3 linked regions of the Coturnix japonica genome follow. The protein of the gene in region 1 interacts with the protein of each later gene in a biochemical or structural test. Links are inferred from orthologs where the notes say so. Each region holds a gene or a part of one and is shown on either strand. Other genes may lie near its edges.

Region 1 (4,369 bases):
TGTCTGTGCCAAGAAATTCACCCTTTTATCGCTGTATGGATGTGCATTTTTTGGTTCTCTTGTCAGTCTTTCCTCACTGCTGCTGCCATAAACTCAATTTGCCTCCTGCTTCATTGATTCCTCTGTACAAGTGTTTGTTTCCATTTGTTCAGTGTAAAGTCAGTTCTTTATTTCCTATAATTATTCTCTCCCATGGATCCCATATTTGTTTGTTTGGTTACTGGTGGCAGAGCACGTCTTGCTTTTTCAGACTAAGATAGAAAAGCTCTCGGGACCATAACACTGCTGTGAGCAATTGCTGATGACTGCTGCAGTTTAAATCCAAAGATCTATATAGCTTCAGAAAGAGTAACTTGAAATATTTGGGTGAAAAACAAATCCCCTCCTTCTTGCTTACTTTCTGTACAAAGGCCCGAGTTCCCCAGGTGTGTACAGCCCAGTTGCTGTTCAGTGCCAAAAGAGTGACAGGAGAGCAGAGGGCCTGGAATTCAAGCTCTTCTTTAGAGGTGCTCCTAAGCAATAGAGTGCTCCTGCTTCCAGCCTCCTTGTCACACAGCAGCCAGAGGTACTGCCTGGCTGGTCAGCTCTAGGCAGTGGTTCTTTGTGCGAAGCTTTCAGCTGAGTGCCTACATGTGTTTTTTCTTCTGGCAAGCTTGTTTATTCACAGAGGAGACATCAAATCACTCCATAGATTTTGCACATTTCTTCCTGTATACACCTTAGAAATGCCAACCTCCTCTTCCCTGATATAGCAGAAAGGCTGAGCATCTGTCTGGGCCAGTGGAATTGCTCTTCTAAGCCACATGGTTTTGCATTGCTGACTGTTGTAACTGAATAAATCGGTAAAGCTGGTCTCAGTGCCACCTGCTTTTGGCTTTATGGCCAATTTGTAGTTCTGTTTGCTAGTGAATGAGGGTCCAGAAATGGCTGCCAGTGCAGCTGATGAGTAAAAACTGTTCATCTTTAACCAAAAGACCAGAATCAGAGTTCCTCACGATTATTTTTTTTTGTCTGACTGCAGTAGAATCATGTCTCTAATAAAAATACTGAGGAAGAAGGGGAAGAAAACAGTTCATGTTTTATAGTTCACAAAACTAGAGAAGACATAGACCTTGTTCTTGTGCTGCCTGAAGAGCAAAGTACCAGCTGCTATAAGGAGCAGTTCATCCTGGTATGATGAGAAGTTCAGCTGGTAAAAGAAGAGTTGGATCTGAGAAGAAAGGGCAAAATGCAAAGGGGATGATTACAGAAAATGAGCACATAATCGCTGCCTTTGGAATAAATATGCTGTGTATTCATATAAGCTTTCTAATGTACTTTTGAACTCCATAGGAAATCTATCCAGGCCAATTCCAGCCATCTCTCTGCCACAAGTTCATAGCTTTGATGGATAAAGAAGGAAAATTGCTTCGTAACTATACTCAGAACATAGACACATTGGAACAGGTTGCAGGAATCCAAAGGATAATTCAATGTCATGGTCAGTAATTTCAGATTCCCTTTTCTTGTTTTTTATGCGTAGGAATGATATTTACTGCTCTATGTGACAAGGTAACTGCTAGTGGTGTTGATATTTTCCTTCAACTGGTATTTCTCCTAAACAAATACTCTGCTTTTAAAGTAGTGGTTAGTATATTAGGTGAAATTATTACCACTAACTGAAGAAAACATTGCAGAGAGAGAGAGACTGAGAAACATCTTCAGATGCATCCAGTAAGACCCAATTTGATATTTGTAGCCAACACTTTCATATCTTGGTTTGTTTCATGAAATGCTGTAACCTTTCTTTAATTTGAACTTAAAGTTTTAGTGAAGTCCTGTTAAAAGTGTTTCTTGGTATGTTCCACCACGCTTCTCAAATTCAACAGGAGAATGAATAGAAAGCTGTGTCCCCAAGTCAGTGGGAAGATGAAGGACCAGACAAGGATAAGCTTGGCCAAAGGCACGTGTATTTCATGAGCCTCTGCTGCTTACATGACTGTACTTTACAACTTGAAAATGTTGCCTTTCTTTTTTTCCCCTTTTTGGAGTTAGTTCAGGTATTTAAAGTGTCAGCAGTAGAACTGGAACTGAAGAAGTTAACCTCTGAGTTAAGAGCAATAACCCTTGGTCTCCCATTAAGAACACAGGGCTGCTGTCCTAGCAATGGGCAAGATCAAATATCAGGAAAGAATTATCACCCGATGGCCTTTCCAACAATCCTAACATCAAGCTAGGGAAGCTGTAGTTCCTTTTTCCTGTAACATACCCACTGTTGAAGCTGGTACTGTTACCACGGTATCTCAAGTGGTCTCTGGATGCAGTGATACCCTGTTCTTCTTTGTCTCAGCTGTTAGCAGTGCAGCAATGCCAGCCTGGTACCAGAGGTGGCAATCTGCCCATTAATTACAACTGTTTCTTGTGGAGTTCTGCTTCTCTGGGGATCAGACTCATCTTTTTCATCTACAGACTTAAGAGTCAGTGGATTTGTCAAGTTTCTTCATTCAGAGAGAGTAAATGCAATGCTCTGTCATAGTAATCACAGAATCACAGAATTACCCGGGTTGGAAGGGACCTCAAGGATCATGTAGTTCCAACCCCCCTGATCAAAGAGAACAGAATAGAATCCACCCCACAGAATAACCCAAACCTAACTCTGGTTTTCATACGTATTCAGCATCTGATGCATTTTCTTTTGGATGCCATTCCTAATTAGGTATTTATCACAAAATTCTTACTCAGCTGTGTTTTTGCACATTGCGGACACACACAAATGTTGGTTTTGTTGTTTCTTTTTTCAGTTGCATGATACAGTAATTAGATTTCAGGCCAGCATCGCCATATATCTTATCAGTTGATTTTCAAATAAAAAATATTCTATTATTGGATCCTGAGGCTTTTGGAAGTTAGCAAAGGTTATTTTGAGCCCATTACGCTATCCACACTGCAGTTACACTGCTTAACGCTGGCAGTGGTTAAAGAGAAACTGACGGTAGTTATTTAAAGGTTTGTGCTTCAGTATCTGTTGTCTATCTGTGAGAGCTTGACACGTTCCACAGACATCCCCAAATTATTTTTTTAAGCCTTGTTTCATTGTTAAGACAAATCTGACAATTCCTCACTTCATTCTTCAATGTCCTGTCAACTTTTAGCAGTACTCCTTGCACAGGCACAAGGCCTCGATGGGTAAATGTATGCACCAAAAAGCCACTCTGGTTTGCCACAGTTTCCCATTGTTAACATGTGTTAGCCAGCAGGCGAGGTTTGCTTTCAGACAGGGCTGCAAGAGCACCAGAGAGCAAATTTACACAACCTTGCCAAACAGTGAACATGGTAGCCAAGCTGTATACTAAGTTTGGAGCACTATTCTAATGGGAACAACATAGCTGTAACTGTTGACAGTTTCTGAGAGGAACAGTGCTGTTACTTAGTTGCTTATAATGAAGTCATAGCAAATGCGTTTTCACAGTTACTTTACTCTTTGAAAGGCAGCTGAGATTGGTGTGGGTTCATGTCCTGCTCTGATGAGGCAGGGCTGTCACCACTTCTATTACTCGTATAAAGATGGAAAGGGAAAGTAGGGGAGCCATCCAGCATATTTTGTGCTTTCATATATTCAGTAAATCCTCCTCCTAAAACACTTTCTCCTTGCTAACATCTACAACTACCTTTAGTACTACAGGCATCTCCTCTTCATTTAAAAATAGTTTTTAAGGACTTTAACTGTTTCTTGTTAGCACTGCAATTTAACAGCCTTTGTGTCGTAACATCTTTGGCAAAAAGACCAAATCTGAAAGTCCTCACTTCTACCATATTTTTTCCCCCAAGGTTCATTTGCAACAGCTTCCTGCCTGATCTGTAAATACAAAGTTGATTGTGAAGTTGTTCGAGGAGATATTTTCAATCAGGTAAAAACTCACTTTAAATCACTGCAGCTCTCTGATAATCAGCTTGAAAACAAAGTGAAGCATTGCTTAAAAGATCTGCACTTTTAAAACGTATAAGAGGGAAAAAAGAAAAAAAAAAAGAGCTTTCCTTGTTTCCTATGTACCTATCTATATTTTAGCATTTGCTCTTGTATTTAAAAAATATACTCAGTTATTACACTGTAGCAATTAGGTAATGGGGAAGAAGTAGAACCAAAACTGTTATAGGTTATTTCTAAAGGCAGTTCTGAGAAGAGCAGAAGTTAATGCGGTAAGTAGAAAGTTGGATTTATACCTGCCTTAGGGTAATCTGAGCTCTCAGGCACACTGAGAATGCATTTCTAGCTATTTATAACGTCAGTCGCTCTTAAAGCATTTACCTGCATTCAACATGTTGAAATTGTAGATGATGCATGGAGAAAATGCTAACATAAAGCAGCGTCTGAGCAAGGACAAAGCAAGAT
Region 2 (4,937 bases), on another chromosome or scaffold:
GCTGGCAGGAGTGGGGTGGGGGACTGTGAGGTGAAGGTTGACAGCACGGGGGGGGGTGGGAATACATTGCTGGTGGGGGGTGGCTTGCTGGGCCCCGGGAATACGTTGCTGGTGGGGGCTGGGGGGAGCCCCGAGGACACGGTGCAGTCAGGGGTCGTGAACGGCGCATCAAACAGCCCCGAAAAGTCATTGTCCGGTGTGTTGATCAGCTGCAGCATGTCTGAAAAATAACAGCCCCCCCCCAAACTGGTCAGTAGCAGCCCCAAACCTCACAGGGAGCCTCAAAGCCATGGGGGGCTCCAGCCCCACACTGCTTGACCCTGCCCTGAGATGTGGGAGCCCAGAGGAGCACCATGCCCTGATCCTCAGGGGCAGCGGGGCTGATCTCAGCCTGCTCCAGGGGGACAAAATGGGGCAGCTCATTCATTACAAACTAGACACCAAAACCTTGACAGTCCCAAAAAGCCCCTGTATTGAGGGCTGAGGAGCTGGGGCTGGGACGGGGAGGTGGCACATCCATGGTGCATCAAACCCCTCCAACCCCTGCACCATGTGCTGCCCCACTCACCCCCAGGCGGGCAGTAGGGCATGAAGAGTTAACCAGCATTAAGCCTGGGGGTCTGCCCTGCATCCCAGCACCCCGGGGCACTGGGGACATCCCCACTGACACACCCCAACACATCGGGCTGCTCTGAGAAGCCCCCATAGAGCGACCTTCATTTGGGCAGCATCCAAACACAGCGCGGTACCCAGAGATGCCAAAGTGACCCACGAGTGCCCCCAGACCCCAAGGGGCGCCCCATACACCCGGCAGAGCACGAGGAGCAGCAGGGGATACCTCCCAGCAGGGCGGGCAGGGTGAGATCCCGGTGTTGGCGGCTGAGCATTGCGCTGAACGCAGCGGGCTATTTTCAAACCATTTCCTCGCCTCCTCCCCACGTTCCCTCCCCGCTGCCGCCCGCGCCAGCCCTGGAGCGGAGCCGGCCGTGGGGTGATGTGACTCCGCCAATCGCTGCCCGAGCACCCGCCGGCCGCCCCCAGGCAGCCCCAAGGTGAGCGCAGCGCAGCGGGTCACTCGCGGGCACCCAGCAGAGGGTTACTCCAGGTCAGGCAGCATTAACTCCTTCACTGCGTGTCCCCACATCCCACAGTGACACCAGCGTCCCTCCGTGCATCCTCAGCCCGGGATACCCCCAGCCTCAGCGGGTGTTTGTATCCCATGGAGCACCCCCAGCCCTGGGACGCCTACATCAATGGGGAGCTTTTCCAAGATGAGATTTTCAGTGGGACCCAACCATGTCATCAACAAGGGCACAGGGACATGGAGACAGTGGTAAATCCACGGTGGGTCATGGCACTGCTGAACACGGATGGTCTCACCCCATGCATTGCCCCACGGGGCCCCTTACACCCTGCAGTATAAACACATGGGGATGGGGACACACAGAGCCCTTGGGATCACGCTCAGTGTGGAAGGGTACGTATAAGTGCCCGTCAGCAAAAGCTCTCCCTGTAAATAGCAGCAGCACACCCAGCCTGTCTCCATACGGAGTACAAGGTGTCAGGAAACACCCCCAATAGGGACATCCGCCCCCCACCTGCCCATCCCTCTGCTCCCTGCAGCTCATGGGCAAACAGAGGCCGCCGTGGTCTCAGCCCTGGTTTGTGTCCAAGGAGGGCAGAGGGGACGCCAGCCTCGCAGGCAAAGTCCTGCCGTGCACCGGGTGCATCAGGACACGCCGCTTCCCCTCCAGCGTGACAACGAGTTAAAGGTCACCCCGTGGGGCGACTGGGTTCAGCTCCAGCCTCGGCTGTCAGCGGAGAAGGGGATCCCAGCACCGACCCCACGAAGGGCCCGTCAGCCCCACGGGACGCTCGGGGGCTCTGCCGCCCCGTCCCCGCCCCGCTCCGTGCTCCACCGGCTCTGCCGGTCTGTGCTGGGAGCCTCGGGGCCCCGACGCGCACCGAGCCCGGGCGGAGCGGCACCACGTGCTGCCTGGTGCAGGTTGGCTGCTGCCTGCTGGGCTGGGCTGCGAGCTGCGGAGGGGGGTCCTGCTGGATGGGTCCAACTGGCACCTGAAAGAGCGTCTCATTGGCACCAGGGAGCGGGTCCCCCTCGGTGCTATGACTGGGTCCCACTGGCACTGGGGATCGGGTCCCCATTGGTGGCATGACTGGGTCCTATTAGCACTGGGGATCGGGTCTGCTTTGGAGACATCACTGTGTCCCATTGGTTTCGGTAAATGAGCCCCCTTTGGTGGCACGATGGGGTCCGGTCCCACTGGTACCAACGAGAGGGTCCCAGTTGGTGGCACGGTTGTGTCCAATTGGCACCGTCCCCATCCCGCAGAGCCCCCAGGAAGCAGCTCCAGCTCCGAGCGGCCCCGGGAGCCCCACGTTGTCCGTGAGCTGCGGGTCAGTTGTGGACCGGAGCCGGGGATGCCCCGCGGAGCCGCCCCACCCCCACCCGACGGCGGGGGAAGCCAGGAGGAACGACCGAGAGTAACCCCGGCGATGACGTCACGGCGGGGCGGGGCTGGCGGCGACACAAGGCTGAGCGATGGGGGAGGGGAACCGTCCCGGGACCGAACCCGCCGTGCGACCCCCACCCATATTACAGCCCCCAGCGGCCCGTCACCCCCCGCACCACGCCGAGCGCTGAGCTGCCCCCGAATGACACACGGTTTTACCGAGCGCGGTCCCCGCCCCAACCGGACCGGTTCTGCACCGGGTTCGCTCCGTCCGACCGTGCCCCGCCGCCCGGTACATCGCACCGACCGCGCACGGACGGTCCGTAACATCGCCCGGCCCCGCTGCCCCGCACCGAGCGCCGGTACCGCACCGAGCCGACACCCCGCGAGCACGAACCATTTCCCCGAGCAGCACCGAACCCGCCGCCCCGGCCCCGCCGCCTCTTCCCTCCCCGGCCCGATCCCGGTCCCGGTCCCGTCCGCACCGTCGATGTCGCTGAGCAGCGCCGTGTCGATGTCACTCGCCGCGCGGAGCTCCAGGGCCAACCCCTCCAGGGCGGCATCGTCGAAGCTGAGCGCGCTCATCGCGGCGGCTCTTACGGGCGGCGGAGCCTTTAGGACCGGGGAGGCCGCCCCAGCGGGGTCGGTCGCCGCATAATCCGGCGGAGGGACGGGGACGCGCGGCCGCACCGTGCCCCAACCTGCTGCCGGGGGGGGGGGGGCCCTGAGAGCGGCCGCCCCTCGTCCCGCCCCCCCCCCCGGGGTCCCCGCCCCCCCCCGGTAACACCGGGACCCGCTGCGGGAGCGCGCACGGACGGGAGCGGGGGAAGGCAGCGCTGCGGGGTGGGTGCGGGGTGCTGAGACCCTCCGGAGTGTTACGGAGCTGCGGGGTCGGGGAGCTGCAGGTTGGGGTCAATGAGGTTTGAGGGTGTTGTATTTTTAGGGCGCTGCGGTTTGAGGGTGATGAAGTTTTAGGGCCCTTTCTGGGTTCATCCTCACCCACCTTTTGTTTCAGCCCCGGGAACCATCCGGGGAAACAAAGCCCTGACAGTTGGCCCACCCAACCGAGGCTGCTCGTGGGGCAGATGGAGCTGGGGGTCTCCTGCACCGCTCCCTCCCCCCCCGCCCCCTGTGCAGCCCCGTGTGTTGTAGGGAACCGCGGGGCACCGCTGCGATACAGGACAGCGCTGCTCCAACATCCCCACCCGCAGCTGAAGACGCCCCATATCCCAACCCTGGGAGCCCACAACGCGCCATGGGGCGGCTCCGGGCGGCTGCGAATACAGGAATATCGGACCATATCGGACCGCTGGGGAGAAGCCGAGCTCCGTTCCCTTTTCCCGCAGGGCAGCGACGGTCTGTGGGACCCCACGTGTGTGTGTTGGGTGAGGGCACGGACCCCCAGTGGGCATCGCTGAGTGGGGCCGGGCAACGACCCGCATCACACAACGCGGGAGGGGGAATAGACGGCACCGACACGGCGCTGCTTTCCCGTTCCGTGCCCCCCGTGTACCCAGCCGGGCTCAGCACCACGCGCTGCCCCGCACCACGAACCGCAGCCCCCGAGGGAAGGAGCGAGCGGGGCCGCGCGGGGCGGGACAACCCGGGATGACGGTGATGGGAAAAACCCCGCCCGTAGAACCAGAGCGGAGCGGCCAATGGGAGCGAAGGGAGGAGTGGGGTGATCCGGCATCACGGAGCGGGGATGCGTGACATCACGGCGGCCCGGCGGGGATCCACGTGGGGCCGATCAGAGAGACGGGCTGAGAGGGGAGGAACCGCCCCGGGAAGAGACGGGAGGGATCACAGAGCGGGGAGGGACGGGATGGGGATGGGATGGATGGGGATGGGGATAGGGATAGGATGGGATGGATATGGGATTGTGGATAGGAGGATAGGGATAGGGATGGGGATAGGGATGGGGATGGGGATGGGGATAGGGATAGGGATGGGGATAGGGATGGGGATGGGGATGGGGATGGGGATAGGGATAGGGATGGGGATAGGGATAGGGATAGGGATGGGGATGGGGATAGGGATAGGGATAGGGATGGGGATAGGGATGGGGATAGGGATAGGGATGGGGATGGGGATAGGGATAGGGATAGGGATAGGGATGGGGATAGGGATAGGGATAGGGATAGGGATAGGGATGGGGACGGGGATAGGGATAGGGATAGGGATAGGGATAGGGATAGGGATGGGGACGGGATGGGGATAGGGATAGGGATGGAATGGGGATGGGGATGCACCGGGTCTGCAGCCCCAAACCCTCCACCTCTCAGCGCGTCCCCGCCGTCACACGGATCCCTCCTGCCCGTCCTCAGCCCCATGTGGGCCGCACGGAGGCTCCTCTCAGGGGCTCCCGAGGGAAGGACGCGACACAACAACGCGACACAAGGCGCAGCTCCGGTCCACACCAGTAGTGTCTTTATTGGAGTATCTCACATGCAGGAACCAAAGTAG
Region 3 (5,154 bases), on another chromosome or scaffold:
GGCAACAACAGATCTAAACCTGGGGAACGCGTTTCACCAACAAGCGTGTGCCTATTTAACTTCTCAGTGAGCTTGACCAGACTCCAAGAGCTTGACCAGACTCCAACGCAGGAGACTGTGAATGCACTTGAAGAAAATATCTTGCCTTCCCTTTTCAGCAAAATGACCCCATGCGCTCGTTAAATTTTATCCTGCAGGTAATTGTGGATTAAAATCATAGCAGGTTTGCACTCAACCTTGCTGGTCAAAAGAGGCATTGCCTGTATTAAAGTTTCTTGCTACTGAAGATATTTAACAAGAAGGGACTCAGAATTTCTCAGAGGCCAAATAATTGACAGCATTATTAATTGGTACAACAGAAACAGAAACACAATACTATTTGCAGAGGCTTATTTTTGAGTTAGAAAAGGGCATATATTTTCCAATGAGACAATAAATCAGTGCAGATTGTAACACATTAATTTGTTAAATCTAAACATGTTTAGCAGTGCAGGTAATTATATTTTTGCATTAGGAGGCCTCATAAGACATTTATAAGGTTACATTGCTTTGACACTAAACACGTGTGATGATGTGTCAGGTGAGCCTGATAAAGTTAATCGATGTAAATGCCACTTTTAACTAGTAGAAAAAGCTATTCTGTGTGATATATGTCTGTGAACAGCTTACAGAGAACCTGTAATTCTATTTTAGGGGCTAACGGAGAATGTTTGACAGCTAAGGTATAATCAGGAATGCTTTCCTCACAGTCATAACACTGACAGCTCTCCTCCCAAATATGCTAACTTACATGAATGCAGGGACAAACCCAGCACAGAACAAGGAGCTGAGCAGTCTCAGTCTTTGCTAGCTTAGTAGTAGACAAGAAAATGGAGAAATATTCATGAAATCATAGAATTATCATAGAATGGCCTGAGTTGAAAAGGACCACAATGATCATCCAGTTTCAACTCCCCTGTTATGTGCAGGGTCACCAACCAGCAGACCAGGCTGCCCAGAGCCACATCAGGCTATGCACCCGGCCATTGCCCACCCAAATTAATCCAAAAATGTGGTTTGGATTTAAGAGGAAAAATCACAAGTGAGAAGAGACCTGCTGAACAGGAAATAAATGGTTAATATTTCCCAAGAATGAGCACCAAGACAGTCTGGTCCAGAAAGACGCATCTGCACAATCACAATGACAAATACTGACACAGGATGCCAGGAACGATTCAACAAGAGATTCCAAAGAGAACTAAGAATAAAAAGATTGGCACTGAGGTGACATCTGCAGGGGCTGGAGAACAACCTGCAGAGAATAGATGCCTGTTAATGAACTGCTGTTTAACTGCCATCAGCCACCACTAGAGATCATTGCCATGAGAAACAACCAGTGCTGTTTGTACCGCTCTCTCCCCATGGGACACTGTCTGAGGGAGAATAAACCTCTCTCCTTCTCCTCCAGCACCAGCCTGTTACTGCCAGTGTTGGCTATAACTGAATAAGCTTTATTCAGATGATAGATAAATTTAGCAGACATTAGCAGCAAGACTCTAGAGAGGCAAAAAACGGGGGAGGAAAGCTTTAAATAAATACGCTAAAGTAATACTGAATAATAGATGCAATTAATGGTGGAGCAAAACTGTGCCTCAGGAGCCGGGCACAAAGTTAAACCTGTTTTGGGGGGCCTTCCACCACAACAGCAGGGCCCTACAGAGCCCATTCCCAATGCAGAAGGTCTGTGAGGCTGCACCACACGCAGGAGAGAGGAAAACGAGGCAGCAGCGCTGGGTTTGTACATCAAATCAGCTCAGGGCTGACCTGAGGCAGCCTCCACAAACCACAGAACCCCAATATGGCTCCGCGCTCCGCCCTTCCCGCCTAAACCGCCTAAAGACGGAAGTAGAGTCGTTCAAAGGGCGGAAGTGGTGTCAGGAGAGGGCGGAAATGGTCTCAGGAGAGGGCGGAAGTGCGGTGGGGAGCCGGAAGTGGATGAAAGGCGGGGGGTGTGTGTGGCCATGTCTGCGTCGTTGATACGGCGGGGCCTGGAGCTGCTGGAGGCACCGGGTGGGCTGGAGGGGACGGAGGCGGGACAGGAGGGGGTTATCGCAGTGTGTGGCCCTGGTAACCTCCCTCCTCTCATCTTTCAGGCCGGGGAAAGGCCCCGCGGGGACTCCAGCAGGGGCGTGATGGCACCAGGCCGGCAGGAGCTGCCCGGCGGAGGAAGGTAACGGTGGGGCCTGGGAAGAACAAGGCCACGATCAAGGGCAGAGTGGTGAAGTCGGCGATAGGTGAGTTCTGACTTTAGTTCTGGTAGAGATCAGCTCCATTGCGCTCTGCACTCTCAGGCCGGGTCCCTGCATGGTGTCCTGCAGCCCCTGTCATGATCACTTGTGCTTATCCCTCTCCATCCTCCTTGTAGCAGCCCTCGGGTGCTGCCTGGGCAAGCAGGTGATGTGTTTTGTCTCCCTGTGCTCTGACCTAGAGGAGTATCACAAGAAGAAAGCTATAAATCACCTCAAAGCAAATCTGCAGTACATGACAAGCGGACGATGTGTTGCTGACAAAGCTGTCACTAAACAGGTAAAGGTGACACTTCTTTCTTCTTCTGAGGAGCATAAATGAATGGGAATTATCTTCACATCTTCCAGCTTAGGCCCTGTGCAGTAGAGTTGACTTTCTTTCTGGTAGTTGCCTTGAAGTATTTATTTGTGCTCAAACAAAACACCTTACTAAGCTTTAAATTTTTGTTGATAGCTTATTTCTTAGTGTTCTCAGATACTAGTTAAAATCTGGTCATTGTCGACTTCTCTTGGTTACCAAAGGTATTTCATAGCAAAGAAGCCCTTGTTCAGGCTTCCCTTCTGTTCTCTTCTAACTGTCCTCTTCTGTAGCTAGAGGCTGTTTTAGCAGGGATCCAAACATGCTGCTGGCTCACATGGTAGGAATTTCACAGCTTCTTAAATTATGTTTCTCATAACCTGAAAATTTAACCAATAGTCTTTCCCAAATAGTAATTCTGAGCCAGGATTTGAAGGTAGATAACACCACTAGATTCTTAGGCTGTTTTTATGACAACACTTTTAACTTAAAGAAACTAAGTGATTTAGGCCAGTGTTTTTCAGGTTTGAGGTTGTAAATGGCAGGAATGACATATTAAAGAACACCAGGGGAATACTACCAATTTCTTGGATTTTCTAGTCATCTTATGGACTAAAGAATGTTACAGTTTCAAAGAAAGTTTAAGTTAAAATCAATATTGCATTTTCAATAAGAGTTATCTGAAAGTAGCTTCCATGTTTGACTCTGAATGCTACATGGGTGCTTGCTGCTGTCCCAGTGACCTGCTTTGGCTAAGATAATGTTTGCATCTCACACTTCTCTGGTGGCATTCCAGAATGTAGCATGAATGTAGCAGAATAATAAAGGTGTGGTAGGTGAGCTTGAAAATTACTGTTTTGTGATTTGGTCTGGGTGACAATGAATGTTATTTTTGTTTTTTCACGAAGGTTCTTGCACAGAACAGAGGCAGGAAGTCAAAAGATCAGCCTGCAGAGAAGAAGGAAAAGAAGAAGCCTGAGGGCACTGTCTTTACTGAGGAAGACTTCCGTAAATTTGAAAGAGAATACTTTGGAATCCCATAAACAGCATGAAAGGGACTCTTGCAGCTCCAGTCCGTTTGCAGCTGAGTGCTCAGAATACAGGACCGGACACTTAATCAGCATGTTTGAGAGTGGATGTAGGAGATACATCACTTTGTCAGCAAATATACTAGCATCAGACCTGCAGAGTAACTGCTCCTGTCCGGAACTCACTGCTGGAGCCATGGAGGTTCTTTGTTTTTTGCAGTATGTTTTAAGATCACCTCCCTCCAGCCAGCATGTCTTGTGTTCTTGACTTAGAAAGGTGGACTAATCCAAAACCAAATCTTATTCTTCAGTAAGGCATCTGCTATTGGTCTCCAACTCAATGATGATACATTTTGGACAGCAAAAGCAAATCATTAAAAGGGAAGGATGCTTCAAAAGACTGTGAAATCCAAGTACTCCAGCAGTTTCTGTCATTATTACAGTATCTGTCAGGTTTTTCTGGTATTGTAAATATTTTGTATGTGTTGTATGATTAAATAATTGTTGTTACAGGTGCTGCCTATCTTTGCCTTTGCGGTAGCGATTGTTATGAGTGGCTGTGATTGAAGAACATAAACCAGATCATTGTTCTGATCCAAGCATTCCTGTCACTAGGATGACTCAGTTGTGTGAATGTCTTCCCTCTGATTCCTGTTGTCACATGTGTCTTCTCTCCTGCATGCTCAGGCTTTTAGAGTGCAGGTAGGAACTGAGGTGACTCCTCTTCTGCCTGCTCAGTCACCCCTCTAAGAAAGAGGTCTTATATGGAGAAAACTTTCTCATGCTTCAGCCCAAGCTTTTATCTGAGGTTCCAACTAGGAGGGTGCTGCTGCTGGATGCTGCCAGCTCCTGTAGGCAGGAATGCTTGTGACCCAGAAGTCAGCTTTCAGCATGAAGATCAAATCATCTGAACTAGAGGCTGTGGTGCTGGACGGAAGGGATGGGTGTTTGCTTTTGGTTGTTTTTGGTTTTTTTTTTTCATAGTGCTAAATTCCCTGCTGCAATAAATAGACGGCCCAGCAGGTGGGAGTGTTGTTTCAGATTATCTTCCTTGCTAAACTACTGTGAATGTGCTTTTTGGGAGCTCTTGTTACTGCCCTTTCCCACCCTTTTCTTAAGATGATGGGAAGTGTTCTCCCTTTGGAGAGGAGAAAAAGAAGAGACAAGTTCTAATAAAAGAGATTCAAGAGCCAACCCTTGGTTAGAACTAACTCCTTGGTTCAGATGTTAGCAGTGGAAGGAATTTGGTATCCCACCCCCTGCATCCTTAAGTCTGTTCCACCTGTGTTTTGTTCTTTCCGTTGTGTCTGCATAAAAGGGAAGGTCACATAGATATACTTTGTCCAAACAGGGGAAATAGTGAACATACTAAAGTATGTGTTCTGGAAACTGTGCTTAACAGCATGTGGGAGGGAATTTCTTGTAATAAGATCAGTTCAACAGTTTGCAGCCAAAAGTGGTAAATAAAACATTCCAAGGACCAGTTTCCCTTTTTTTCAGTTTGTCCCTTCTCCTAAAATGGAGAAATGTGTAGGGGACCTTG

The links.
Region 2: of the proteins of SIRT1 (region 1) and SREBF1, one has a biochemical effect on the other in vitro, tested with the Homo sapiens proteins (2 studies listed by BioGRID, with this or other methods). The link is inferred for Coturnix japonica from reciprocal best matches to the Homo sapiens genes SIRT1 and SREBF1.
Region 3: the proteins of SIRT1 (region 1) and RPS19BP1 form a complex in vitro, tested with the Homo sapiens proteins (2 studies listed by BioGRID and IntAct). The link is inferred for Coturnix japonica from reciprocal best matches to the Homo sapiens genes SIRT1 and RPS19BP1.

Annotation. Positions count from the first base shown.
Region 1 is NC_029521.1:8,456,629-8,460,997, forward strand, and holds part of SIRT1 (NAD-dependent protein deacetylase sirtuin-1), read left to right. Parts: intron 1-1,332; coding exon 1,333-1,480; intron 1,481-3,807; coding exon 3,808-3,887; intron 3,888-4,369. UniProt on the Homo sapiens protein: NAD-dependent protein deacetylase that links transcriptional regulation directly to intracellular energetics and participates in the coordination of several separated cellular functions such as cell cycle, response to DNA damage, metabolism, apoptosis and autophagy.
Region 2 is NC_029529.1:4,938,837-4,943,773, forward strand, and holds the start of SREBF1 (sterol regulatory element-binding protein 1), read right to left. Parts: upstream 3,200-4,937; 5' UTR 3,057-3,199; coding exon 2,957-3,056; intron 931-2,956; exon of another isoform or gene 888-930; coding exon of another isoform or gene 839-887; intron 221-838; coding exon 1-220.
Region 3 is NC_029516.1:46,162,632-46,167,785, forward strand, and holds RPS19BP1 (active regulator of SIRT1), read left to right. Parts: upstream 1-1,937; 5' UTR 1,938-2,000; coding exon 2,001-2,049; intron 2,050-2,132; coding exon 2,133-2,273; intron 2,274-2,404; coding exon 2,405-2,565; intron 2,566-3,491; coding exon 3,492-3,626; 3' UTR 3,627-4,222; downstream 4,223-5,154. UniProt on the Homo sapiens protein: Part of the small subunit (SSU) processome, first precursor of the small eukaryotic ribosomal subunit.